Linked DNA regions of Callithrix jacchus. The protein of the gene in region 1 interacts with the protein of each later gene in a biochemical or structural test. Links are inferred from orthologs where the notes say so. Each region holds a gene or a part of one and is shown in the gene's direction. Other genes may lie near its edges. The genes, in order: PCNA, CHAF1A, POLD1, POLL, RAD18, KMT5A and USP1.

Evidence for each region.
Region 2: the proteins of PCNA (region 1) and CHAF1A form a complex in vitro, tested with the Homo sapiens proteins (4 studies listed by BioGRID and IntAct). The link is inferred for Callithrix jacchus from reciprocal best matches to the Homo sapiens genes PCNA and CHAF1A.
Region 3: the proteins of PCNA (region 1) and POLD1 form a complex in vitro, tested with the Homo sapiens proteins (4 studies listed by BioGRID, with this or other methods). The link is inferred for Callithrix jacchus from reciprocal best matches to the Homo sapiens genes PCNA and POLD1.
Region 4: the proteins of PCNA (region 1) and POLL form a complex in vitro, tested with the Homo sapiens proteins (3 studies listed by BioGRID). The link is inferred for Callithrix jacchus from reciprocal best matches to the Homo sapiens genes PCNA and POLL.
Region 5: of the proteins of PCNA (region 1) and RAD18, one has a biochemical effect on the other in vitro, tested with the Homo sapiens proteins (21 studies listed by BioGRID, with this or other methods). The link is inferred for Callithrix jacchus from reciprocal best matches to the Homo sapiens genes PCNA and RAD18.
Region 6: the proteins of PCNA (region 1) and KMT5A form a complex in vitro, tested with the Homo sapiens proteins (4 studies listed by BioGRID, with this or other methods). The link is inferred for Callithrix jacchus from reciprocal best matches to the Homo sapiens genes PCNA and KMT5A.
Region 7: of the proteins of PCNA (region 1) and USP1, one has a biochemical effect on the other in vitro, tested with the Homo sapiens proteins (6 studies listed by BioGRID, with this or other methods). The link is inferred for Callithrix jacchus from reciprocal best matches to the Homo sapiens genes PCNA and USP1.

Annotation. Positions count from the first base shown.
Region 1 is NC_133506.1:12,558,577-12,562,767, reverse strand, and holds the start of PCNA (proliferating cell nuclear antigen), read left to right. Parts: upstream 1-1,391; 5' UTR 1,392-1,533; intron 1,534-3,986; exon of another isoform or gene 3,987-4,139; intron 4,140-4,191. UniProt on the Homo sapiens protein: Auxiliary protein of DNA polymerase delta and epsilon, is involved in the control of eukaryotic DNA replication by increasing the polymerase's processibility during elongation of the leading strand.
Region 2 is NC_133523.1:4,178,129-4,181,628, forward strand, and holds part of CHAF1A (chromatin assembly factor 1 subunit A), read left to right. Parts: intron 1-1,262; coding exon 1,263-1,489; intron 1,490-1,996; coding exon 1,997-2,165; intron 2,166-2,266; coding exon 2,267-2,347; intron 2,348-3,060; coding exon 3,061-3,153; intron 3,154-3,500. UniProt on the Homo sapiens protein: Acts as a component of the histone chaperone complex chromatin assembly factor 1 (CAF-1), which assembles histone octamers onto DNA during replication and repair.
Region 3 is NC_133523.1:44,036,275-44,040,217, forward strand, and holds the start of POLD1 (DNA polymerase delta catalytic subunit), read left to right. Parts: upstream 1-1,143; 5' UTR 1,144-1,211; coding exon 1,212-1,312; intron 1,313-3,943. UniProt on the Homo sapiens protein: As the catalytic component of the trimeric (Pol-delta3 complex) and tetrameric DNA polymerase delta complexes (Pol-delta4 complex), plays a crucial role in high fidelity genome replication, including in lagging strand synthesis, and repair.
Region 4 is NC_133513.1:94,542,999-94,547,208, reverse strand, and holds the start of POLL (DNA polymerase lambda), read left to right. Parts: upstream 1-1,410; 5' UTR 1,411-1,486; coding exon 1,487-1,632; exon of another isoform or gene 1,633-1,854; intron 1,855-2,224; exon of another isoform or gene 2,225-2,242; coding exon of another isoform or gene 2,243-2,268; coding exon 2,269-2,429; intron 2,430-3,810; coding exon 3,811-4,105; intron 4,106-4,210. Other genes in the region: protein DPCD, read right to left, coding at 1,259-1,322.
Region 5 is NC_133516.1:66,167,892-66,172,101, reverse strand, and holds the start of RAD18 (E3 ubiquitin-protein ligase RAD18), read left to right. Parts: upstream 1-1,410; 5' UTR 1,411-1,497; coding exon 1,498-1,548; intron 1,549-4,210. UniProt on the Homo sapiens protein: E3 ubiquitin-protein ligase involved in postreplication repair of UV-damaged DNA. Postreplication repair functions in gap-filling of a daughter strand on replication of damaged DNA.
Region 6 is NC_133510.1:126,589,766-126,593,265, forward strand, and holds part of KMT5A (N-lysine methyltransferase KMT5A), read left to right. Parts: intron 1-1,773; coding exon 1,774-1,833; intron 1,834-3,074; coding exon 3,075-3,265; intron 3,266-3,500. UniProt on the Homo sapiens protein: Protein-lysine N-methyltransferase that monomethylates both histones and non-histone proteins. Specifically monomethylates 'Lys-20' of histone H4 (H4K20me1).
Region 7 is NC_133508.1:99,537,403-99,540,902, forward strand, and holds part of USP1 (ubiquitin carboxyl-terminal hydrolase 1), read left to right. Parts: intron 1-192; coding exon 193-353; intron 354-1,825; coding exon 1,826-2,511; intron 2,512-3,500. UniProt on the Homo sapiens protein: Negative regulator of DNA damage repair which specifically deubiquitinates monoubiquitinated FANCD2. Also involved in PCNA-mediated translesion synthesis (TLS) by deubiquitinating monoubiquitinated PCNA.

The DNA of each region.
Region 1 (4,191 bases):
TAGTCCAAGCTCCCTCAATCCATTCTACACATCACTGCCAGATCAGTTTTCCAAATACAGGACTCCTGACCACTGCTATCTCGGAAAGCACAACTACAACTACAAAGTCCTATGCTGCCATTCAATGTCCACAGTAATACAACTACTCCCTACCTTCCTCAACTCCCCTACACAGACCTTTCACTTCACCCAAAGGAATCTACTCCCACACCCGTCACCCCCCAGCCGCTGTCCCCGCCAAGATGGCCTCCTTCCTACTCTCCTCCCCTACTCACCAGAACCCATACGGCACAGGAAACAACCCATCAACTGGGAGGACTCCCTCCAACACCTGCTGATGACGGGGTGGCTCACTGCGTAACACACCTCTCTGCTCAAAGCCGATGATTTCCTGTCCAAGAAGGGATTTACATATGCCAGGAGGCAAATGCTATGGCCTTGTCCCGATTCCGACACCCCCCAAAATAATAACATTGCAAAAGGGAACGGAGAGCCTAAGTCGCGGTCAGAGGAGCCGCCTATCTGAGAAAGCTCTGCACATCTTCACCTCCAGGAAGGCCTCAGGGAGGTAGGGGGAGAGGGGGGTCCCGCAGTCAGCCCAGCGAGGCAGGAGGCCGTGCGCCACTCCAGGCGAGCTCCTTCCTGCGCCCCAGGGGAGCCACTCCAGCCAGACCCTGAGCCGGGACTCCGACCCGCCAACCCTTGACATGCGCGCAGCAAAGGCTAGGCACCCGAGGACCCATCGCGCTGCCCGGGGCCGCCGTCCGCCACGACAAGGGATCAGAGGACTAGAGGACCCCCCTGCGCGCGTCCCCACCGGGCCTCCTGGATGCGCCGCTGTCCCGGCCGCGCCCACCCCGAGGCTGCCGCTACCTTGTCCTCGGGCGGCGCATCCGGCTCGTGGGCCACCCTCTGCCTCAGCTCGGTCATCCTGGAAAAACCTGCCCGACGTCGCCGCGGGCGAGCAGCGCAGCAGCCAGGAAAGGCAGCTCAGCGCGGGCACGCGCGGACTCCCTCGGCCGGCCCCGCCCCGCCCGGGAGTCGCGCGGCTCCGAACAGCTCACAGTTCCCTTAGCAGCCCAGCAGCCAGCCCTGGAGCTCGGCCCCGCCCAGCGCCGTCACGGCCCTTTCACCCGGGCGGAGCAGGGTCTGCCTTCCCTGGCCCCGGCCCGCGAGCTCCTCCTCCCCGGAGGCGGGCTCGGAGCGAGTGCGCACGCGCAGCGCCGCCATCACGACCCGAAAGATCGACCAACGGCGCAAATACGCCAGGGACAGGGAGACGGGGGCGGGGCGGAGCAGAGTTGAGAGGCTCGCATTGGACGGCAGCGTCAGGGGCGGGAATAGGCGTGCGTTTCAGAGTCCGATTAGCCAATGGGAGCTCCTGCTTCAATGCAGATGGCTGAAGCTGGCGCCCTGGTTCTGGAGGTAACGGATTACCGACGGCGAGAGGCGCCACCCGGAGGCTCTAGCCTGACAAATACTTGCTGACCTGGGCTCTGAGCCCGCAGCAGCAAGGGCTCTTTCTTCACGCAAGTAAGTAGACGTTATTTAGGCCGAATGGAGAGGCCAGGTGAGCCGACCTGATTAAAAGCATTATCGCTTATCACATGATGAGAAGTGGAACCCACACTTCAATCTGCCTTGCTTTGCCAAGCGGTCTCTAGTACTTGTTGAGCGCTAACTGTATACTAGGCACTGAGCTGGGTAATCGCTTTAGTTGGCTTATCTCATTTAATCCACACATGGCTTGGAAGTGAGTATGATTTGCATTTTGCAGTTGAGATCTTCCTCAGTTTATTTATTTATTTATTATTGAGACAGAGTCTCGCTCTGTCGCCCACTATCTCAGCTCACTGCAGCCTCCTCCTCCCGGGTTCAAGCAATTCTGTCTCAGCCTTCCGAGGAGCCGGGACTACAGGCGCTCGCCACCACGCCCGGCCAATTTTTGTATTTTTAGTAGAGACAGGGTTTCACCATATCAGGCTGGTCTTGAACTGCTGACTTCAGATGATCCGCCCATCTTGGCCTCCCAAAGTGTTGGGATTACAGGCGTGAGCCACTGCACCGAGCCCTTCCTCACTTTCTAAAATTTGTCTTCTGGACTATGGAAAGGCTCAATAATTTTGAGCCAGGCTGGCCAACATAGTGAAACCCCATCGCTACCAGAAATACAAAAATTAGCTGGCCATGGTGGCGGGAGCCTGTAATCTCAGCTACTCAGATGGCTGAGGCAGGAGAATCGCTTGAACCTGGGAGGCAGAGGTTCCAGTGTGCGGAGGTCACGCCACTTGCACTCCAGCCTAGGTGACAGAGTGACATTCCATCTCAAACAAAAAATGATTTACTTTGACGGCTGCTAAAATTATTGATGGAGGGGCCATCCTAAAGTAACTAAATTTCTGGGGGAGGGCCAAGTGGAATAGGCTTTTTTAAAGCTCCCCAGGTGAGTCTAGAGTGCAGCCAGGATTGAGAATAATTCTGATACATATTACCTTATGAAGAAATTTGCCAGATACTACATAAAATAATTTATAGCATTTTCTCCCAGTATTCATTTTCTGACCAATACATTTTTACTGAAAAAAGTATAGAAAATACAGAAAATGCAAGAAAAATTTAAAATTATTTGTGGCACCATCAGCCAGATAATTACTGTTCATATTTATCTTCTTGCTTTTCCATTCCATTTACTGTACACATACACCCAGATATAACAATTTGAGAAAATTGGAATACCTTTGTTTATTCTGCTTCATAACGTGATTTTTCTCTTTATTAAGCTCTTTGCAAATCGTACGTTAGAGGCTAAACAATATTCCATCTTACAGATTTATCACAATTTACCTAACAAATGCAAACACTGTTAGACCTTAAGGTTATGTCCAATTTCTGGGGGAATTATTAATAATTCTGTAAGAGGCCAGGCACGGTGGCTCATGTCTGTAACCCCAGCACTTTGGGAGGCAAAGGTGGGAGGATCATTTGAGCCCAAGAGTTTGAGACCAGCCTAGGCAATATGGTGAAACCCTATCTCTCCAAAATATTAGCTGGGCTTGGTGGTGTTCACCTGTAGTCCCAGCCACTTGGAAGGCTGAGGTGGGAGGATCACCTGAGCCCAGGTCAAAGCTGTGGTGAGGTGAGCTCATGCTACTGTACCTCAGCCTGGATGACAAAGTGAGAACCTTTCTCAAAAATAATAATCATCGGGCGGGGCATGGTGGCTCACACCTGTAATCCCAGCACTTTAGGAGGCTGTGGCGGGCAGATCACAAGATCAAGACCATCCTGACCTACATGGTGAAACCCCGACTCTACTAAAACATTCAAAAATTAGCTAGGCATGGTGGCACACACCTGTAGTTCCAGCTACTCGAGAGGCTGAGGCAGGAGAATTGCTTGAACCCGGGAGGCAGAGGTTGCAGTGATCTGAGATGGCACCACTGCACGCCAGCCTGGTGACAGAGCAAGACTCCATCTCCAAAAAAAAAAAAAAATTGTCAGTCATCATCATCATTCTGTAAGAAACATTTTTTTTTTTTTTTTGAAACATAGTCTTGCCCTGTTGCCCAGGCTGGAGGGGAGTGTCGCAATTTTGGTTCACTGTAACCTCTGCCTCCCAGGTTCAAGCAATTTGTGCCTCAGCCTCCCAAGTAGCTGGGATTACAGGTGTGTGCCACCACACCCAGCTAATTTTTGTATTTTCAGTAGAGACAGAGATTCACTTTGTTGATCAGGCTGGTCTGGAACTCCTGACCTCAAGTAATCTGCCCACCTTGGCCTCCCAAAGTGCTGGGATTACAGGTGTGTGCCACTGTGCCCAGCTGCTTTTATTATTTTCTAATAGTTTAATATCTGATCAAAATTTACTTAATTGATTCTTTACTGATTCAATAGTACATTTACTAGATGTTAAAGTATCCTCTTAAAATGTAAATTGGATCATATCAAAGACCTGCTGTTGACAACGTTCGCTTGCACTTTTACAGAGCCTACAAAGTCCTGCAAGAGTTCACCCCAGCCTCTCTGCAACCTCACCGAAACCTCACCTTGCACCACTCTTACTCCAGATGCAACCTCACCTTGCACCACTCTAGCACTTAGTCTGAGTGCTACATCTAACTTGTCTGAATATATTCCAAGTATGCTGACCTTTATTTTTTTATTTTATTTTATTTTTTTTGAGACGGAGTT
Region 2 (3,500 bases), on another chromosome or scaffold:
ATTTTACTTTCCATTTTTACTTGACTCTTGGTGCAGTGGAGCATTTTTTTGTGTTGGTTTCCCATTTTAGTTCTTCTGTGACTTGCCAATTCCTATTTTTTACCTATTTTTTTTTTTTAACAGAACTGACTCTTTTTTTTGGCCTGATCTGTAATACAAGTATTTTTTACAGTCTGGTATTTAATCCTCTGATATTTCATCTCAGTCTACTACGTCTTTGTTTACAGAGTCTTTTGTTATACAGAAATTTCTCCTTTTGGCCTTGTGCAGTGGCTCACGACTGTAATCCCAGCACTTGGGGAGGCCAAGGCAAGTGGATCACCTGAAGTCAGGAGTTCGAGACCAGCCTGGCCAACATGGTGAAATCTTGTCTCCAGTAAAAATACAGAAATTAACTGAGCGTGGTGGTGGGCACCTATAATCCTAGCTACTCATGAGACTGAGGCAGGAGAATCCCTTGAATTCGGGAGGAGCGGGTTGCAGTGAGCCAAGATCATGCCAGTGCACTCCAGGCTGCATGATAAAGCGAGATTCCATCTCAGAAAAACAGAGCAGTTGGAGACCAGCCTGGGCGACACGGTAAGACCCTGTCTCTAAATTATTTTTTTTTCTTTTGAGACGGAGTCTCACTCTCGCCCAGGCTGGGGTGCAGTGGCACCATGTTGGCTCAGTGCACCCTCCACCTCCTGGGTTCAAGTGATTCTTCTGCCTCAGCCTCCCTAATAGTGGGACTACAGGTGCCCACCACCACCCCTTGCTAAGTTTTTTATTTTTTTGTAGAGACAGGATTTCACCATGTTGTCCAGGCTGGTCTTGAACTCCTGACCTTAGGTGATCCACTGTCTTTGGCCTCCCAGAGTGCTGGGATTACAGTCCTGAGCTACTGTGCTGGCCCTTTTTTTTTTTTTTTTAAGCAAGGTTTGTTGAGATATAATTTACATGCAATAAAACACATGCTTTTCAGGACTTTCATATTGACAGATTACGGGGCCAGCTAACCATAATGAAGATACACACTGTTTCCATCACTCAAAACGCTCCCTTTTTGTCTGTCCCCACATCCTGTCCCTTGAGACTCCCAATCTGACCTCCATCCTATAGCTCTGGAAACTCGGCTCTGTGGATCTACATAGTGCCTGGGCTTTTGAGTCTGCGCCTTGCCCTTAGCCTGGTGAATCGCACCAGCACCCTGCTGTGTGTGTCCATGGTGGCCTCTTTCTCCCATTGCTTGAAGACCCCACTGGGTCTCTTCTTTATTTCAGACCCTTGCCGGCTCCTGTGGAAAGTTTGCCCCCTTTGAAATTAAAGAGCACATGGTCCTGGCCCCTCAGTGTCGGACTGTTTTCGACCCAGACCTCTGCAGTCAGCTAGACGAGCTCCTTCAGCAGCAGAACGGAGAATTATCCTTCTTGAAAGACCTCAAAGGCCGGCAGCCTCTGAGGTCCGGACCCACTCAGGTTTCCACCCAGAACGCAGACATTTTCAACAGGTCAGAGCCCAAGGAGGTTGGCCTTTGCCCACTAGTGATGCTGGAGGGCAGCTGCCCGAACCCTGGGTTCCCGAGGCAGGAGCTCTGGGGCCTTCTGCTGCTTGCCTTCTGCTGGCTCAGGAGTCCCTCCACCTGGCCTCGCTGTGAGCCCCTGAAGTTTTCCTTTTTCTGTCTTCCCAGCCCCTCCTGGAGGAATCTTATTTCCCTGCTGGGCTCCAGTGAAGGACACCCCCTGCTCTTGCAGATTTCCTGGCTCCATTGAACTCCCCTTGCTAAAAATGCTCTGGGCTGAACCTGGGCAGCCTTATTCCCTCTCCTCCTGCAGGCTGTACCCTCCTCCCTCTGTCCCTTGAGTCCACATTCCTGGCCTTTCTTTGGGGACAGGTAGTGCTGGTTTTTACAGTCTCCCAACTTTCTGGAATTGTCAGCCAGCTTCACTGGGAGGTCCCTGGGAGGTGTGTGAGCAAGTCTAGGGCAGCCCGATCCTGAGCCCAGAGTTTTCCTTAGTGATGTCGTGATTGTGGAGCCTGGGAAGGGCGACGGTGTTCCTGAGAGGAGGAAGTTCGGCAGGATGAAGCTCCTGCAGTTCTGCGAGAACCACCGGCCAGCCTACTGGGGGACCTGGAACAAAAAGACAGCGCTCATCCGTGCCCGAGACCCCTGGGCCCAGGACACGGTGAGCGGGCCCGAGCAGGCCTCCGTCCCTGTACCTCCTCGCTGTGCCCCATCCCTCTAGCCCCGAAGGCAGTCGTGAGTCCCGTGTGTTTCTTTTCTCAGAAGCTCCTCGACTATGAGGTAGACAGCGATGAGGAGTGGGAAGAAGAGGAGCCTGGGGAGTCCCTGTCCCATAGTGAAGGGGTAAGGACATACCCCAGCTGTGTTCACTCACGGACAGCTTTTGTTTGGCCTGCTGTGTGGTCTAAAACCCAAATCTCCCTTAACATCCACACTTCCAGCTTCGCTTGAAAAATCTCACCCTGGCGACACTCGCCTGTGTGGCTGCCTGGGGTAGGATCCTGTTCGCATCTGCACCGTGGCCCTGCAGCTCCATCTCATCTCCTGCCAGCCTGTGACTCACCACTTCCACCTGATGGCACAGCTGCTGTGACTTGGTGGCTTTCTGCTGATTGCTCACTGTCCGTCAGAAGGCCATGCCAGACAGATGTTCACAGCTTTTCCTTTTTTGGTCTAAGACAGTCTTGCTTTATCACCCGGGCTGGAGTGCAGTGGCGCCATCTTGGTTCACTGCAACCTCTGCCTTCTGGGTTCAAGTGATTCTCCTGCCCCAGCCTCTCTAGGAGCTGGGATTACAGGTGCCCAACTAAAATTCGTATTTTTTCTTTTTTTTTTTTTATACCTTGCATCCAGTTCCTGTGTAAAGTAGGCCTCACTAAAATTCGTATTTTTAGTAGAGATGGTGTTTCACCATGTTAGCCAGGCTGGTGTTGAACTCTTGAGCTCAAGTGATCCACCTACCTTGGCCTTCCAAAGAACTGAGATTAGAGGCGTGAGCCACCGTAGATGCACACTCTGCTTTTCCATCTGATGAACTCATTTGTTCTCCTTTTGAGGATGATGACGACGACATGGGAGAGGATGAAGATGACGACGATGGTTTCTTTGTGCCCCATGGGTACCTGTCTGAGGATGAAGGTGTGACAGAGGTGAGGGAGTGAAAGGGAGGTCACTGGCTCAGAAAAAGCTCATTCACAGACTGGTGGTCAGTGGCGTGACCTGGGAGGGTGACAGGAGTCCCCACCCAGCCATACGCGATTTGAACTGTGTTCCCAGCATGCAAGCTCACTTGTCGGAATGGCCTGAACTTAGCATCACTCGGGAGGGTGGTAAACATAAGAGGAAATTGCAAGTGAGCAGACACTGGTGAGGGAGCATGGCCGTAGCCTGTAGGTTAGAAGGCTGGAAACCACTCTATCGGGCGTACAGTCAGCATGCACCAAGACGTGTGCATCGTGAGTGTTGAGTTTGATGACTTAAAACAGTCGAGTGGATG
Region 3 (3,943 bases), on another chromosome or scaffold:
CTGCATTGATTACTTGCATTGTCCAATTACTTGGGAGGCTGAAGTGGAAGGATCATTTGAGCCCGGGAGATGGAAGCTGCAGTGAGCTGTGTTCATGCTGCTGCACTCCAGCCTGCACAACAGAGCAAGACCCTATCTCAAAAAAACATACAGGTCGGGTGCGGTGGCTCATGCCTGTAATCCCAGCACTTTGGGAGGCTGAGGCAGGTGGATCACCTGAGGTCAGGAGTTCAAGACTAGCCTGACCAATATGGAGAAGCCCCGATTTTACTAAAAATACAAAATTAGCCAGGGATGGTGGTGTGCACCTGTAATCCCAGCTACTCTGGAGGCTGAGGCCTGAGAGTTACTTGAACCTGGGAGGTCGAGGTTGCAGTGAGCCAACATCAGGCCATTGCACTCCAGCCTGAGCAACAAGAGGAAAACTCCATCTCAAAAAATATATATATGAATAAAAACAAAGCTGTGAGATTGGGCGAGATTGGAAGAGGTCATCGAGGGAATGAGCGAGTGTCTTGCTCATCAAGAAAACCAGCATCTGGCCTGCAGTGAGCATGTAGTGTCGTTTTATTGCTGACTCTCTGTTAAGTGCTTGCTCGTGAGAGAGGGCAGAGGCCAGTGTTTGCCAAGCTCTCATCCTGTGCCAGGGCACATGAGAGGGGGTACACGGGGGCCTTTCCTTCCTAATACTGCTCTCCTTCCAGTCTGTACCAACAAGAGCCTGGGTTTTGCGCCTGCTGACACCGTCCCTCCTACCACACCCCTGTAGCCACAGCCAACTGACCTCGGGCAGCCAGTCAGCCCCTTCCTTCCTCCGGGTCCGGCAGTGACTCTGGGCTCCCACAAGCCCCTGCACTTCCTCTGTCCCAGCCGGGTCTCTCCCTGCAGGTCATCACTCCCTGTCCGTCTCTGGCTGCTTACACAGCCGGAGCAAGGGCCACTAACTGAGCTTGCTTCTTCCTGTGAGATAAGTCACTCATGTACACAGTTGTCACCCGAAGAACGCAAACGCGGAGTCAGTTCAAGTCTTCCTCATACGAAACCCCCCGCACACATTCACGGGTGCTCCACTCACGAACAGTGGAAACAAGCCACCCTGATGTCCATCTGCCGATGAGCGGATACGTAAAACGTGTTCTGGCCATACGGTGGAAAAGTACTCAGCAAAAAAGGAACGCAGCTCTGCTTCCAGGCCACCACGCGCATGAACGATGAACGCATTCAGAGAAAGCAGCCAGACACCAAAGGCTGCAGATTCCAAGATCCCATTTATAGGAAATGCCCAGAATAGGCCAATCCATGGAGACAGAAAGTAAGATGGGTGGTTGCCAGGGGTGGGGGCAGATGGGCTGAATCGGGGGAGCTAACGGAGGTAGGGTTTTCGGGGTGATGAAAGAGTCCTAAAATTGATTGTGGTGACGACTGCCTAACTGAACATACTAAATACCATTGAACTATATATACTTACTTTAAAGGGGTGAATTGTATAGTATGCGAATCACAGCTCAGAAAAGCAGTTACCAAATGGAGGCTTCTTCCACCCCGTCCCCTGGAAACCAGTTTCTTAGCTCTCCTTGCAGAACAATGCATTCAAAGCAAACTGATTTATACCTAGTCTCTGCGTTAAAAGCAAAATGATTTATACGTACTCTTCTGCCCACCTTGTCAAATTGTTACTATTTCCATTTTATATATTTCCCTCTTAATATTTTGAAAAGTTTGAAACCTGCAGAGAAGGTACAGATTAAGCACAGTGAACAGGCTGTCGGCGCGACACCTCCTTTGCTTTATCCAAGCACACACATAGACTTGTGCTTTTGTCCTTTTTTGAGATGGAGTCTCGCTGTCTCGCCCAGGCTGCAGTGCAGTGGCACAATCTCGGCTCACTGCAACCTCTGCCTCCTGGGTTCAAGCAATTCTCCTGCCTCAGCCTCCCGAGTAGTTGTGATTACAGGTGTGTGCCACCGCACCCGGCTAATCTTTGTGTTTTTAGTAGAGACGGGGTTTCACCATGTTGGCCAGGATGGTCTGGATCTCCTGACCTTGTGATCCACCTGCTTTGACTTCCCAAAGTGCTGGGATTACAGGCGTGAGCCACCGCACCCAGCCCCTTCTGTCCTTTTCTTGGCTGAACTACTGAAAGCTGTGGTCATCGTGATACGTCACCTCTGAAAGATCTAGCAGTTGACACCTTTTTTGGTACAAGAACTCACTCTGTCATGCAGGCTGTAATGCAGTGGTGTGGTCACAGCTCACTGCAGCCTTGACCTCCCCAGGCTCAGCTGATCCTCAGCCTCCCAAGTATCTGGGACTAAAGGTGAATGCCACTGCACCCTGCTAATTTCTGTATTCTTTTATAGAGACAGGGTTTCACCGTGTTGCCTAGGCTAATCTGAAACTCCTGGGCTCGAGCAATCCCCTCCTCGGCCTCCAAATGTCCTGGGATTACAGCCGAGAGCCACCGTGCCTGGCCTCCAGCAGTCAGCTCTTAAGAACAAGATGTCCAACCGCACAACTACAGTGTCGTCATCGTCACGCAGTTTAACGTGACACGGTGACGTCATCCAATAGACAGTCTTTATTTAGATCTGCCCCGTGTTCCTGTAATAGTCTTCAAAGCTATTAATAATTTCTTTTTTTTTGAGACTGTGTCTCACTCTGTTGTCCAGGCCGGAGTGCAGCGGCACGATTTCCGCTTGCTGCAACCTCTGCCTCCCGGGTTCAAGCAATTCTGCCTCAGCCTCCTGAGTAGCTGGGACTATAGGCACACACAACCAAGCCCGGCTACTTTTTTTTTTGTATTTTTAGTAGAGACGGGGTTTCGTGTTGGCCAGGCTAGTCTCGAACTCCTGACCTCAGGTGATCCGCCTGCCTCAGCCTCCCAAAGTGCTGAGATTACAAGCATGAGCCACCGCACCCAGCCCATAATTTCTTTTTTTTTTTTAATCCAAGTTCTAACCTAGGATCACACACATTTAGCTGTCACAGCAACTTTTTCTTTCCTCTTTTTGAGACAGGGTCTTGCTCTATCATTCACCAGTACAGTGGTGCAATCACGGCTCACTGCAGCCTTCACCTCCCAGGCTCAAGTGATCCTCCCACCTCAGCGTCCGAGTAGCTGGAACTATACATATGCACCACCATGCTTAACTAATTTTTAAATTTTTTGTAGAAATTGGGTCTTACCATGTTGCTTGGGCTAGTTTCTAACTCCTGGCCTCGAGTGACCATCCCACCTCAGCCTCCCAAAGTGCTGGGATTACAGATGTGAGCCCCTAGCCCAGGCGACTTTCTTCTTCATGACAGTGACAGTCTTAAAGGTTTCAGCGCAGTATTGTCACCCTGCACTTTGGATTGGTTTGTTTCTTTGTTTTTGTTGCTTGTTTTTTTTTTTTGACTGTTGTTGTTTGGTTTTTTTTTGTGACAGAGTCTTGCTCTGTCACCCAGGCTGGAGTGCAGTAGCATGATCTTGGCTCACTGCAACCTCCACCTCCCAGGTTCAGGCGATTCTCCTGCCTCAGCCTCCCGAGTAGCTGGGCTTACAGCTGCCCACCACCATGCACAGCTAATTTTTGTATTTTACTGGAGACGGGGTTTCACCATGTTGGTCAGGCTGGTCTCAAACTCCAGACCTCAAGTGCTCTGCCTGCCTCAGCCTCCCAAAGTGCTGGGATTACAGGTATGAGCCACTGTGCCCCAGTGATTCGTTTCCTAATGACTAGAATCAGGGTAAACATTTTCTTAGACCTTTTTTTCAACCCAAAAGATAAAACTCTGAGTGCACCTTTGTGCACCTTGCTTTAGCTACTGAACAGTGCCTCTTTGAGAACCTTCCCTATCAGTACACAAGGAGCTTCCTCATTTCTTTACACAGCTGCATAGTATTCCATGGAACGGACTTAACATAACTTATTTAAACAGCCCCCTAGGGAAGGACAGTTAG
Region 4 (4,210 bases), on another chromosome or scaffold:
AACTCCTGAGCTCAAATGATCCGCCTGCCTTGGCCTCCCAGAGTGTTGGAATTATGGGCATGAGCCACTGTGCCTGCCCTTATTAATTATTTAGGACCCAGAAACATCATCACTTCTCTTGGGTCTTTCCCCAAAGAGGTATCATATACACTTTCATTATTTCCTACCATTTTATACAAGATTACACCTCTATTTAGCACATCTTATTATTTGCATACATGTTTTTCCCAACCACTGTAAGTCCTGGGACAACATATCTTTTTCTTTCAGTTCAAGTTTAGAGCTTGGCACATAGTAAAAGCCTCCCTAAATGTTGCACTAAAGGGCAAATGATTTTAATTTCCACCAACTTTAGGCTGCCTTGACTGGCCTCTACCTGTGAATGTGAATCACCTGCTGTTATCTTCGAAACCTCAGGAACTTCAGACCCAATTCAACCTGGCTCCCCAGTGGGTCCAGAAAGGACCCAAGTGCACAGAGGGGCGACATCGGCCAATCCTAGGGTGGCAAAAAGTTAGGTATCCATGCCCCTGTGCCCACCTCTTCCAGGCACAGCCCTTGGTCCTTGCTCTAGCTCTCCTAAAGACACAGAAAACATTAAGAGGTTCACTTTAGGCCGGGAGTAGTGGCTCACGCCTGTAATCCAAGCACTTTGGAGGCCAAGACGGGCGGATCACCTGAGGTCGGGAGTTCAATACCAGACTGACCAACATGGTGAAACCCCGTCTTTAAAAAAAAAAAAAGACGTTCACTTTACAAAAATATTACAGCTGGAAAGGGCCTCAGTGGTAGCCCATCCACTTCATTTTACAGACGATGAAAGTGAGGTCCAAACAAATTAAAGGGCTGAAGAGCCCGTGGTGAATTAATGGCAGAGTCGGAACTACAGCCCAGGCCTCTTTCCTCTCTAAAGTCTGAAGCATTCTTGGAGTTCAGTTTCCTCTTCTGTAAAACGGGGTGAAAAATTAACCTCTCAGGACAGTGGTGAGGAGCAAATGAGATAATGAATGTGAAAGAAATTATTATATTAGCAACAAACTCAAAGCAGAGCGAGTTGGTGTAGAGGAATCTAATCGGTGTCCGGAGACCTGTGTTCCAGTCACGTCATCTCTGAGCCTCAGTCTCCTCATCTACAAATGCAGGGACCTGGCCCAGCTGACTGCCGAGACCCTTTCAGCTCTGCAGACCCTGAGGCCTTTCCTGTGGGGTGGACCCTGGGGGGAAAAAACGAGGGAGCTCGCGAGGGCTCTCGAGTTACCATCCTGCAGCAGCGCAGTCTTCTCGGCCGTCCGCAGACTCTCCAACCATCCCGTCACCGCCATCTTTCCTCTGCCAAGCAGCGCGCCCGGCCGCTGCCATGGCAACCGTTCCACTGAGGGTCACTTCCGGCTGACTCGGAAGCTATTCTGGGCATTTGCTCGCTTTTCCCCCTTCGTCCGCTCTCATTGGCTCTCCTGGTAAGTGATTTATTCCTGCCCACCTGCGAATGATCAGCTTGGCCAGTTGTCTAACCCACCCGGGGACCGACTTCGGGGGTTGGAGAGGGACTCTTGGAGCCTGGGTCGGGCGCTGCAGCTTTCCTCTAGCCCGGAGCTGGGATTCCCCGGCCTGCGCCAGCTGCGTACGCGTCGGGTACAGCACACCTGCCCGGGTCTTCTCCATCCCCAGCTGCGAGACTGAGACTCCTCCAATCCGGAGGGTGCCTCACACCTGCTGCGGCCGTGCCCTATCTCCCCGCAGCTGTGGGGCTGAGCACCCCCGTGCCGAGAGGCTGAGACCAGGGCAGGTGCAGGGCGTTCCCACTCACCCCCGAAAGTCCCCCTCCTTAGGTTTTCCTCTGCAACTGTGTTGAAGGTAGAGAAAGATTATGTGGGGTTTATGGTGCAGGTTCTCCCCAGTCTCCGCTCCACTCCCTAGCCCAGTATCCCATTTTGGTAAAGCCCTTCAGAAGGGGGCTGCAGCAGTAGGGCTGTGCTGAATCTTTAGAGCAACCCCAGTGAGGAATGGTGTTGTTTCCTGCTCCTCAAAAGTACCCCCAATGGTCCCAGTCTTCTCATTTCCCCCTAATACTCCGAAAGACTAATACTTTGAAAGGCTGGGGAGTGGGAAGCTAGGCTACACCAGTGAAGTTTAATGGGGTTTGAGGAGACCCCCCCCCAGCACTGTCTCCCCGAACTGGGCTGCTATCCCTAAGGCCTAGTCAGGGAACACCCTACCTCCACAGGCAAATAGGTTGGAGAGCATGAATTTTGAATTTCCACATGACAGCTGCCCTGGTCAACCCTCTGACAGACCGAGATCTAGCCGTACTTCAATGGATCCCAGGGGTATCTTGAAGGCATTTCCCAAGCGGAAGAAAATTCATGCCGATGCATCATCAAAAGTACTTGCAAAGATTCCCAGGAGGGAAGAGGGAGAAGAAGCAGAAGGTGAGTTAACCGACCCTCAGAACCCTCATTCCCTTGAACCCTCAGCCTTCATGTGCTTCAGCCCTACGTTGTTCATGTCCAGAATCAGATATTGGAGCTGACTTTGCCTGTCCAGGGCTTGCAGGTCTGTTTGTACCTGCTTTGTACTAAGCTTGGTCCTGGGTCTTGGACAGGCCATTTGCTGTGTTATCTTCTTTTCTACCCAAAGACCTCTATAAATCAGAAAGGACTCCCTGGACTCTCAGGGAATGACCAGTAGAATTTTTGCCTTGGGGGACAAGCAGAAATCCCCTCCATTACCCAGGTTTGATGTTAGTTGTTTTGCAGGCAAATTGACAAATAAATGGCAGAGGCTTTGGGGACAGGATTGTCAGGTCTGGCAGACTGTAAGGGCAAGAAACATGTAATGGCAAGAAATATGTGCTTTGTTGAAAGAATAAATGGTAAGGGATTCAAAGTAAGGAGGGAAGCGGAGTGTGGCGGCTCATGCATGTAATCCCAGCACTTTGGGAGGCTGAGGCAGGCAGATCACCCGAGCTCAGGAGTGTGAGACCAGCCTGGGCAACATGGCAAAATCCCGTCTCTGCTAAAAATACAAAAAATTAGCCAGGTATGGTGGCACACACCTGTAATCCCAGCTACTTGGGAGGCCAAGGCACGAGAATTGCTTGAACCTGGAAGATGGAGGTTGCAGTGAGCTGAGATCATGCTACTGCATGCACTCCTGCCTGGGCGACAGAGTGAGCCTATCTCAAAAAAAACAAAAACAAACAAAGTAAGACGGGAGGAGGCATTAATTCAACAGATATTTGCAGGTTACTTACAATGTGCCAGACACTTCTAGGTTGCACCAGGAAACAGGATGTATCCTTGTCCCGGGTGGGCGAGGTGGCTCATGCCTGTAATCCCAATACTTTGGAAGATCAAGGTGGGCAGATCATGAGGTCAAGAGATCGAGACCACCCTGGCCAACATGGTGAAACCCCGTCTCTACTAAAAATACAAAAATTAGCTAGGCATGGTGGTGCATGCCTGTAATCCCAGCTACTCGGGAGGCTGAGGCAGGAGAATCACTTGAACCCAGGAGGCGGAGGTTGCACTGAGCTGAGATCACACCATTGCATTCCAGGCTGGGCAACAGAGTGAGACTCCATCTCAAAAAAAAAAAATTTTTTTTTTTGTCTCTTACATTCAAGTGCTGGCCTGTGAGAAAATTTGCTATATGTAGAAGGGAAACTGGATGGAAGGGAAATGCTTATTTTCAGGGTAGGAGACTGTAAACACTTCATTCAGATCATGTTAGATGTTATGTTGTAGCCAGGGGGTGGCAGATAAAAATAAAAATGTTACGACAGTAGTCATCTGGATATTCCTTCCACAGAGTGGCTGAGCTCCCTTCGGGCCCATGTTGTACGCACTGGCATTGGACGAGCACGGGCAGAACTCTTTGAGAAGCAGATTGTCCAGCATGGTGGCCAGCTATGCCCTGCCCAGGCCCCAGGTGTCACTCACATTGTGGTGGATGATGGCATGGACTATGAGCGGGCCCTCCGCCTTCTTAGATTACCCCAGCTGCCCCAGGGTGCTCAACTGGTGAAGTCAGCCTGGCTGAGCTTGTGCCTTCAGGAGAGGAGGCTGGTGGATGTAGCTGGATTCAGCATCTTCATCCCTAGTAGGTGGGCTGATCCCAGTCTTTTTTTCAAATGTTTCTAGTAGCATCTTGAGCTCTCTTCTTAAATTGTTAAAAATAACTACCATTAATTAAAAAATTAGCCAGGCAT
Region 5 (4,210 bases), on another chromosome or scaffold:
CTTGTGAATAAGTCAAATAAGTGCATATGTGTAAAAAACTTAGAATGGTGTTTTGCATACACGTGCCTAATAAATGCCAGCTACTACTGTAATGGATACTAAAGTCCTTTCTCTTTTTTTTGAGACGGAGTTTCGCTCTTCTTACCCAGGCTGGAGTGCAATGGCGCGATCTTGGCTCACTGCAGCCTCCGCCTCCTGGGTTCAGGCAATTCTCCTGCCTCAGCCTCCTGAGTAGCTGGGATTACAGGCACGCGCCACCATGCCCAGCTGATTTTTTGTATTTTTAGTAGAGACGGGGTTTCACCATGTTGACCAGGATGGTCTTGATCTCTTGACCTTGTGATCCACCCGCCTCAGCCTCCAAAGTCTAAAGTCCTTTCTCTAAATGCTATTAGTATTAATATTACTGCCCAGTAAGTATTTGGGTGCAAGCTGGGAAAAATCAATTGAATACAGCTTTGGCTAAGAGACTAGAGGGTTCTTATGAAGAGAACTCAGAGGAGTGAAGTCTTAAGCTTTCTGAGCCTCAGTGTCCTCATTTGTAAGATGGCCATAACAGTCTAATCTCTGCCTGCTTCCCAAGAAAGCTCAAGTGCCTGGCCCGTTGTAAGCATTCAGAAAATATTTGTGAAATGAATCAGTGCATGGACCACGTGGGGCGTGTTCTTCATCTTAAGCCTCAATGGGCTCCAAAATGTCCCTTCCTAGATTCTACAAAAAGAGTGTTTCCAACCTACTGAATCAAAACAGAGGTTTCAACTGTGTGAGAATCCACACATTGCAAGGCATTTTCAGATAGCTGGTTTCTAGTTTTTATTGTGGGATATTCGGATTTTGCCATGAGCCTATATGGATTCCGAAATGTCCCTTCCCAGATTCTTGCTAACTTGGTGGGAATATCAAGGGCAAGGATTCAAGGGTGGGGATATTGCTAACTTGATTTAGCAGAGTTCTTTGCTAAAACTGGATTTTATCACGAAGTACACAGATTGGCCTAGGAGAAGGTTCAGGAGCCTGACTAAAGTTTGGTCAAGCCAAGAATCTTTGCCAATTTGCATAGGAAATATCTGGAAGGCTATATGCCGAAGTTAATAGTGCTTCTCTCTGAAGAAAAACTGTACATTAAAATTTTAATATGATTAAAAGGAAGAGCTCCTATTTAAACTCCAGAGGTCCTGTTTCGAATCTGACTCGAAACTCTATTCAGCTTTTCCGGAGTAGTTTCCGCTTGTGTAAACTGACAATGATAACACCTACCTCCCAGTGTTGTAATATGGGAGAGATATTACACAGTAGCGGACATAGCCTAGCGCAGGCGCAGTACAAGCACCATCAGCAGCGCCCCGCCCACATCCTACTACAATTTCCGGCAGGCTCCGCGCCCGCCTCTGGCGCGTCGCGGGTTGTGACGTAATGCGATAGCGCGGGGAATTTCGAGTGGTATTGGAGCGCCGGAGGCTAGTTGAGTGGTAGACCCCAGCATCTTCAGGAGCGACCATGGACTCCCTAACCGAGCCTCGGTGGCCGCCGGGCCTGGCAGTTATGAAGGTGAGTGCTTCGGGGAGGTTGGGGGCTCCCGGGTGCCTGCGGGGGGCGGTCCCTCCCTTTGAGGAGGATGTCCTCGCCTTGAGGAGAAAAAATGAGGCGCGAGAGTCGCACTGGGCCATAGTACCCGGCTCTGCTCTGTCACTAGCCGACCGCGTGGCTCTGGGTCTCAGTTTACTCCTTTGATAAGTGACAAGGACAAGCTTGGTGAGCTGAGGTTGACAGTCTAATGGAACCAGATATTCTGCGATCCAATCCGAACAGTAACATGGAGAAAAACAGCTGTTCTAAACAATGACATTGTCAGCTAACCTTCACTGAAAGCTTACTTTGTGTCAAGCACTAAACAGTGACACCGGACATGATTTTGGGTGGACACTTTATCAAGTAACATGTATGTAATCACGTAGCCAAGCAGGTAGTCTCCTTTACAGGCTCTTCTGATTATTCTCAATAAACCTACTGCTGGTTTGTACCGACATACTGCCCCAGCTCCTCCCTCACACGTCCTATCTCTTCTGTAACAATTGCTCATCTCTCTGTCTTTTAAACAAAGATCAAGATTCAGCAGTCATCTTTCATTGCATCGAATTATTTCAGTTAAATAACACTTATTTTTGTAGCCACTTTCTGTTTTGGCAAGGCAACAGTTTCCATTTACGTAGTGGTGGTCCCTGGATTTGCTCAAGAGCAGATGCACATTCCCGTGCTGGCTAAAAGTCAGTTGTTTGGTGTTTCTTTTTGCTCTGTGATTATTTTTGTTTCTGACAGTGGCTAAGATAGCCTTTTTCTCTTCCTCAGTTTTGTAGTCTTGGGGATTATAGTATCTGTCCCACTGGCTCATAAAGTTGACTTTAGAATTAAGTGAAGGCTAAAATAAGTATAAGGCCTTGTTCTTCCTGCTGTCATCCGTGATATTTAGAGGTCTTGGGGACTTGAGATATCTGCATGACGAGAAGCTGACATTGTGAAAGGATCCAGGAAAGCGGTGGTTTCGAAGTTGTGATGGGCTTGGCACCAAGATGCCGTGGAAAAGAGCACAGATTTGAATTCTAGTGGTCCTGGGTGAAATCTGATCTCTGCCTCTTAGCTGTGTGACCTTCAGTTAGTAACATAACCTCTCTGAGCCTGAATTTCTTCAACTATAAATTAGAGACAAAAATAAACAGTTCATAGGGTTGATTAAATAAATGAGTTCATGTGTGTGGGTGCAGATTCTGCAGGCTTATTCATTGTGCTTGATGCGGTGCCTGACAGAAAGTGAGTGCTCAAGTATTATTTGCTGCTTGATTGAAAGTATCTGGAATGTAGTAAGCATTCAATGAATATATTTTATTACTATTATTAGCACTGTGCTAAGTGCTTCTCTCCCCTTTTAATTTGTTGTCATGAAGCTTGATTTGGATAAGGAAAGTAAAAGAACTCTGTAACCTGTAAAGCTCCTGCTTTGTAGATTTAAGCATATTTTACATATTCCCACAATTTCAGTGTTCTTTAGAGGCAGGTTCCATGTCTTCTCTGACTTTGGTATCTCACCACGGCACTGAATATAGAGTTTGATACCACAGAGTGTTCAGTGATTGTTCAACCAGAGAGTTGATTGAGCCCATATTTTTTGCTCACATTAGAATCATAGAATCTTAAGGTTTGGAAACCAGCCTCCTTCATTATTTTAAACTCTTTTATAACATATCTGCCAATTTCTCACCTAATTTTTGCTTGAACTCTTCCAGGGACAAAGAACTATCAGATCCCAGAAGTGGATCTGACTAAAGTTACTTCTAATAGAAGTCTGACTCAGAATGCATGGTTCCTGACTTAGGATCCGTAGAAAGACTTCGGAGTCTCAAGTTATTTGTAGAATTTTCGTATATATGTTTTTCTGAGAATAGAGTCCATAGTTTTCATCTAATTTTCAAAGGGATCTGTAACCCCAAAAACTTGGGTATTTTTGTAAGTATTATGTTTTTCTACCCATTTTCTACTCCCTTTCACTTTCTCTCTCTCTAAACTAAAGACATTTTGGGGTGTCTGCTGACCACTCTCTATTCAGGCATCGTTTTTTGTTTGGTTGGTTGAGGCACATGTGATACGCATATTACAGTCTTGGAGAGACATGACCAGAAATTTGAACCCGAAATAGCTCATCTTATGGAGTGTCAACTTCCACAAATTGTGCTCTGCAGATCTTTCTGAATCATTACTCCACCGAAGAGAATGGCATAGATAAGAAAGAGTGGTATGACAGACTGGTTCCGGCTTCTGGGCCTGCCTCTGATCTTAATTGATCTTTAACATTAACCCTCTAGATTTTTGTGTCTGTGACAGCTTACCATCCACAATAATGGAAGATTTTGGCATTTTATTATTTCCCTGGTTTTATTTTAGCAAAATTGGACTCTTTTTGGCATATTGTAAATGTAATAGGTGTACACAGTAGAAAAAAATTAAAATTCAGAGTAAGATAAAGGTGAAAAAGAAAATCATCTGTAATCCTACCACCCAGAGAACCAGTGTTTAACATTTTACCTTATTTTCCTTCAGTTTTTACGCATTTAAAATTTGGGATCATTGTGGAGTCAACTTCTTGGGTTTGATTCAGCCAACCTAGGAACTCTGAAGGCTTTGTTTTTAAAATTGGGGTACTGATGCTGTGGACTTTATA
Region 6 (3,500 bases), on another chromosome or scaffold:
GCTGGGGTTACAGGCTTGAGCCACCGCGCCCGGCCAAGTTTTGTTTTTTTAATCCATTCCACCAATATGTGTATCTTTCTTTTTTTTTTTAACCTTCTTGACCCTTCCATATCTCTTAAGTGGAACATTTAATCCATTTATGTTGAAGGTTAATATTGATATGTGAGGTTTTATCAGGTATATTACTATTAAGTAAGTTTTTGGGAAGGTTTTTTTTTTTTTTGAGACTCAGTCTGTCTCCCAGGGTATAGTGGCGCAATCTTGGCCTACTGCAACCTCTACCCCGGCGTTTAAGTGATTCTCCTGCCTCAGCCTCCCGTGTAGCTGTAATTACAGTCACCCACCCAGCTAATTTTTGTGTTTTTAGTAGAGGTGGGTTTTGCCATGTTGGCCAGACTGGTCTTTGAACTCCTGACCTCAAGTGATCCACCCACCTCAGCTCCCAAAGTGCTAGGATTACAGATGTGAGCCACCATGACTAGTCATGTTTTTGTTTTTTTAAGACAGGGTCTCACTCTGTTGCCCAGGCTGGAGTGCAGTGGTGCAATCATGGCTCACTGCAGCCTCAACCTCCTGGGCTCCAGCAATTCTCCTTCCTCAGCTTCTAGAGTAGCTGGGACCACAGGTATGTGCCATCACACCCAGCTTGTTTATTTTTTGTAGGGACAGTGTCGGGATATGTTGCTCAGGCTGGTCTCTAACTCCTGTCCTTAAGCCATCCTTCCTCTTGGACCTCCCAAAGTGTTGGGATTGCAGGAGAGAGCCACCACACCTGGCCTCATTTACAATTTAAAGAGGCCACTGACTGCTGTGTGGAGAACTGAGTGTTCCCTGAGGTCAGAGTGGAAGCCCGGTGACTAGAGAGGTGCGGTGGCTGGGCTCAGGGCAGCAGTGAGAATGGAGATGGAGAGGAGATGGCAGGGTTTGGGACTGCCCTTGATGTTGCTCATTCACCATGGTTCCCAGCACAGATTGCTGCAAGCTGGTTTGGGCCTCTGTGTAGGGGAATGGGCTGAGCTCAGCAGTTGGTGCTGGGCTCTCGACATGTGCCATCTGGTTTGGTGACAGTCTGTGCTAGCGAGACATGCTGGTTTGGGGGGAGCCACACTGGTTTGGAGCTTCTGGTCTGTCTTCATTTGGTTCCCTTTTGTTTCATAGTGTCTGTGTGATGGCAGAGTAGTGGAACCCAGGGTTAGGGATGGAAGTAGGTACAGGAGGGTTGGCCTTCGAGGAGAGGTGAATCTGGGAGTGCCTCCTCCTCCTGGTTCTCTGTTCGGGGCTGTATTGACCCTCTGGATTGGAGGTCCTCTTTTTATTCATGGTGGTAGCTTCTATACAGGTGAAGCTCAGCGATCCTAAATGGACAGCAGTAGGGGCCGTCAGAATGGAGGGATGTGGACTGCCTGTGTCCCATCCAAAGGGCACAGCCTCTGATCTGCTGTACCTGATTTTCAAACTTGGGCAAGTTGGACATTTTACAACATGCTGCATGGGCAAAGAACATATCTACAAGCCCCATTCTGTTCTTGGGTCCCCACTGTTTCCTTCCTGATCTAGTTGAACCCCAGATCATCCACACAGATGGATGATGAGAAAAGAAGGGATACTTGGGGGCTTTGGCATCACTGGGTACCCATCATCCACAATGATGCCAAATGAGGCCGATGGTGACCCGGTGGGTATGGCCTAGGCAATGAGGGCTCAAGGCCTTCAAGCTACCCACGATGGGCTTGGGAGAGGATGCTGATGCTATTTTTCTTTCTCTCTACCCAGTCTGAAGAAAGGAAAAGAATAGATGAATTGATTGAAAGTGGGAAGGAAGAAGGAATGAAGGTAAGGGGCTGCTGTGCTGGCTGCATCATGGCTAAAGCTGGAAGACTCGCCTTCCCTGGTCCCTCGGCTGAGAGTGGCCACCACGTGGCTTTAACCCTCTAATGGCCATGGGGACCAGTCAGACTCTTACTAGGTTGTGAAAGAGCCAAACACTAAAACTCATTAAGGAAAAACCTTATGAAGGAAACATAAATGGGCCTTGTATATAAATGTTATTTAGGGGAAACTTTTCTTAGAAATTGTGGTTAAACAATTTAGTGGCTTTTTGTACATTCACAATGCAATGCAACCACCATCCCTGTCAAATTTCAGAACTTTTTCATCCTCCCATTACTGCCCACCATCCCCGAATCTCCCTCGCCCATCCCCTGGCAGCCACTCAGCTGCTTTCTGTCTCTGTGGAGTTGCTCTTCTGGACACTTTATATAAATGGGACTATACAATGTGTAGCTGAAGCCTGGGGAAACTTTTAAAAGGAGAAACTAATAAATTTTTAAACTCTGTTTTCCTAGATAATGACAATGCCCAAGAAATGTGCTTTTCTCTTACTGCATTTCAAGCATACCCAGTTTGGGTGAGAGGAAAGGAACTCTCTACAGTGGGGCTCAGATAGGCCTGGATTAGGGCTTAGGGCTCAGAAACCTTCCACTTCCACCCACCACTTAGGGGGACCCCCGCTTAAGTCCTGGACCCCTCCAGCAACCCCCTCTGACTCCATGTAGAATAGAATGAGGAGACACAGGAGAGAAATCGTGGAGCGAGGCACAGACCCAGAACACTGGGCCTGCTGTTCACCTAGGAAGGCATAGAGCACAGCCCCTAGGCAGAGAAACCAAGTGTGGATTTGAGTCCCTGCTATGTCACTGCCTAGCTGTGGGGCCTCAGACACGTGGCTCTGCCCCTCTAAGCCTCAGTTTCCTCATCTACAAAATGAGGCAGTCTCCATCCAGCAGATCTCTCATGAGCTCTGATGTAACAGTGCTTTGCAGATGAGTACCAAGGAACCAAGTCTGTGGGGTGACAGAAATGTTCTAGAGCTGGATTGTAGTGACAGTTGCACAGCTATGTACCCATCTCAAACAGCCCATCAACCTGTACGTGTAAAGCAAGTGAGTTTTATGGTACAGCTCAGTACAGCTGTGAAAGACTGGTATCAGCCCTCAGCTCTCCAGAGGCCTGCTGTGCGTGGTGGCATCCATTGCTGTTATGAGCCAACAGCCTCTCTTATCACCTCCTGACAGATTGACCTCATCGATGGCAAAGGCAGGGGTGTGATTGCCACAAAGCAGTTCTCTCGGGGTGACTTTGTGGTGGAATACCACGGGGACCTCATTGAGATCACTGACGCTAAGAAGCGGGAGGCTCTGTACGCACAGGACCCTTCCACGGGCTGCTACATGTACTATTTTCAGTATCTGAGCAAAACCTACTGGTAAGTCTACTGTTGCTTTGAGTGGCTTTTCTGTCTTCTGGGCAGTGAGGAGAGCCCAAAGGGCCAGGAACTCCTGATTCTGTATGGTATTTTACTTAGTAGAGATGGGGTTTTGTCATGTTGGCCAGCCTGGTCTTGAACTCCTGATCTCAGATGATCCAACCACCTTGGCCTTCCACTTGGCCTTCCAACCCAAAGTGCTAGGGTTACAGGTGTGAGCCACCGTGCCCAGCCT
Region 7 (3,500 bases), on another chromosome or scaffold:
TGCACACTCCAGCCTGGGCAACAGAGACTCTGTCTCAAAATAAAAAAAAAATAAGGTTGATTTGTCTATCCCATAAAATTAGTGCTATAATGCAACTTAGAAAAGCTAGTAAAGTGAGACAAAGACAAATGAAGAAGGCACTTAATTTGTTCACAAATAAAATTATTGGTTTGTGTGTTTCTTTCTTGACAGGGAAATTGCAAAGAAGATTCTTTGGCAAGTTATGAATTGATATGCAGTTTACAGTCCTTAATCATTTCGGTTGAACAGCTCCAGGCTAGTTTCCTCTTAAATCCAGAGAAATACACTGATGAACTTGCCACTCAGCCACGGCGACTGCTTAACACACTCAGGTATAGCCTATGATATAATTTTAGGGTTTCAATTTAGCTACTTGTTTATATCCTTGGAGGAGAATGATATGTGAACAAACAGAAATAAAGGGCAAGGAAAGTAAGAAACTCTAGGTCCACAGTCCTTTATATCCCAGAGGCTCTGAATACTGGAATTTTTTTTCATAAATTTGGTGCTAAATTCGTTAGATCTGAATATATTAGGCTTTTTATAGTCATTATTCATATTTATCTCTAATGTGAATATTCATACATCCTTCTATAGAAATAGGATCATGTTTAATTATAGAGTACTACCATATCATGTTGGTGATAAATATTTTACTTATACGTCGTATTATCTTTGAATCTGAAAATGTCTGAATTTCTAAATGCATGGTCCTCAGATTAGGAGTTATAGAACTATATTCAAAATATGTGTAAGAACCGTAAGTTCCAAATAATGTATTTTTGTTAATATGTGATTAGAGGAGAACTATTGGATAACTGGATTAGATTGCTTTTTGTTATTTTCTTAAAAATGAAACTTTATATATATAAAATAGCCTTATTCAAATAAAGTTATACTAATAGGGCAAGTCTTTAAAACAATCACTTAAGCATTTAGTTTAGAAATAGAACTAGGTGCAGTGTATTGCTACACCTTAGTTAAGAGGTATTGTAGGCTGGGCATAGTGGCTCACACCTGTCCCAGCACTTTGGGAGGCTGAAGTGGGTGGGTCATTTGAGGTCAGGAGTTCGAGACCAGTCTGGCCAACATGGTGAAAACCCACCTCTACTAAAAATAGAAAAATTGGCTGGGCATGGTGGTTCACACCTAAAGTCCCAGCTTCTTGGGAGGCTGAGGCAGGAGAATTGTTTGAACCCAGGAGGTGGAAGTTGCGGTGAGCCAGATTGCAACACTACAGTCCAGCCTGGGAGACAGAGCAAGTCTCCTGTCTCCAAAATAAAAAAGTATTATAACATGGTAACCAAGAGTGGGGTTTGACTACTGGCTTTTCATCCTAACTAGTTCTGTGACCTTGGGCAAGTTATTTAACCGCTGTGTGCCTCAGTGGCTATATCTATCTGACAATAGTGGTGGTGTAATAGTCCCTTATAGGGTACTATTGCTATTATGAAGATAATGTATATGTAGGAGATAAAGCATTTTGACTAAGACCTTGTATATGGTAAGCACTGTTAGTTATTAATATGTTTAGAAGAGGATCAAGTATATTAAATACATTATAAAATATATAAATATATTAAATATATTAATATATTTGGAAGAGGTTCAAAGTATTATAATGAAAAACAGATAAAATTTACTCTTTTAGTTTCAGGTAAGAAATTTCAAATTAGTGCTGAATGAGATTTAAAAATTAAATAATTTACAATATTCCTTACATGAATTCATTCCTATGTAGAAATAGTTTTATGTACTATATCTTTAAAACTAGAATAGATGAAATGGAAATTTTTATTTATAGGGAACTCAACCCTATGTATGAAGGATATCTACAGCATGATGCACAGGAAGTATTACAGTGTATTTTGGGAAACATTCAAGAAACATGCCAACTCCTAAAAAAAGAAGAAGTAAAAAATGTGGCAGAATTATCTACTAAGGTAGAAGAAATACCTCATCAGAAAGAGGAAATGAGTGGTATTAACAGCATGGAGATGGACAGTATGAGGCATTCTGAAGACTTTAAAGAAAAACTCCCAAAAGGAAATGGGAAAAGAAAAAGCGACACAGAATTTGGTAGCATGAAGAAAAAAGTTAAAGTATCCAAGGAACACCAGTCATTGGAAGAGAACCAGAGACAAACTAGATCAAAAAGAAAAGCTACAAGTGATACATTAGAGATTCCTCCTAAAGTAATTCCCAAGTATATTTCCGAAAATGAGAGTGCAAGAGCTTCACAAAAGAAATCAAGAGTTAAAATTAATTGGTTAAAGTCTGCAAATAAGCAACCCAGCATTCTTTCTAAATTCTGTAGTCTGGGAAAAATAACAACAAACCAAGGAGCTAAAGGACAATCTAAAGAAAATGAATATGATCCTGAAGAGGACTTGGGGAAGTGTGAAAGTGATAACACAGCTAATGGACTTGAATCTCCAGAAAATACTGTTATACCTGTAAATGTTAATGAAGTTAAACCCATAAACAAAGGTTAGTATAATTCTTAGACTTTGATAGGTAGGAGCATTAACAGCTATAGAATTAGAATTTTCTCTTCTTAGATACATATATAATATAATCTATGCATAAAATTGTTTCAAGAGAAGGAAATTTAACACTGAATGTGAACTATGGTGTTCTAAGTGCTATGCTTAAATTAGTGTGTGTGTGTATATATATATAATGTCATGAAAGTAATTTTAACTTACAGTTTATAAAGTAGGGAAGTTCAGCTGGGCCACGGTAGCTCACACCTGTAATCCCAGCACTTTGGGAGGCTGAGGCAGGTGGATCACCTGAGGTCAGGAGTTCAAGACTAGCCTGGTCAACATGGCGAAACCCCATCTCTACTAAGAATACAAAAATTAGCCAGGCATGGTGCATGCCTGTAGTCCCAGCTACTCAGGAGGCTGAGGCAGGAGAATGAGGCCGAGGTTGCAGTGAGTCAAGATTGTGCCACTGCACGGTAGCCTGGGTGACAGAGCAAGACTCTGTCTCAAAATAAAAAAGTAGGGAAGTTCAGTATATCTTAACGTACATTTAAAAGTACATTTCCCTTTATGCAGTGTTTGATGTAAACTCATGAAGGACATTGTATTCAGTGAAATATTTAAAGTAGAGACGAAGTACAGTCATGTTGCTTAACAACGGGGATATGTCTTGAGAAATGTGCTGTTTCATTGTGCGAATGTCACAGTTTACTTATACAACTAGACGGTAGAGCATACTACACAACTAGCCTATGTGGTATAGACCAGGGGTGTCTAATCTTTTGGCTTCCTTGGGCCACATAGGAAGAAGTGTCTTGGGCCACACACAAAATATACTAATGGTAGCTGATGAGCAAAAAAAAAAAAAAAATCACAAAAAAGTCTCATAGTGTTTTAAGAAAGTTTATGAATTTGTTATGGGCTGCAGGCAAGCTTTGAATGGCCTATTGCTGTTAGGTAACCTGTACATCATATAACTATAGTGAATAC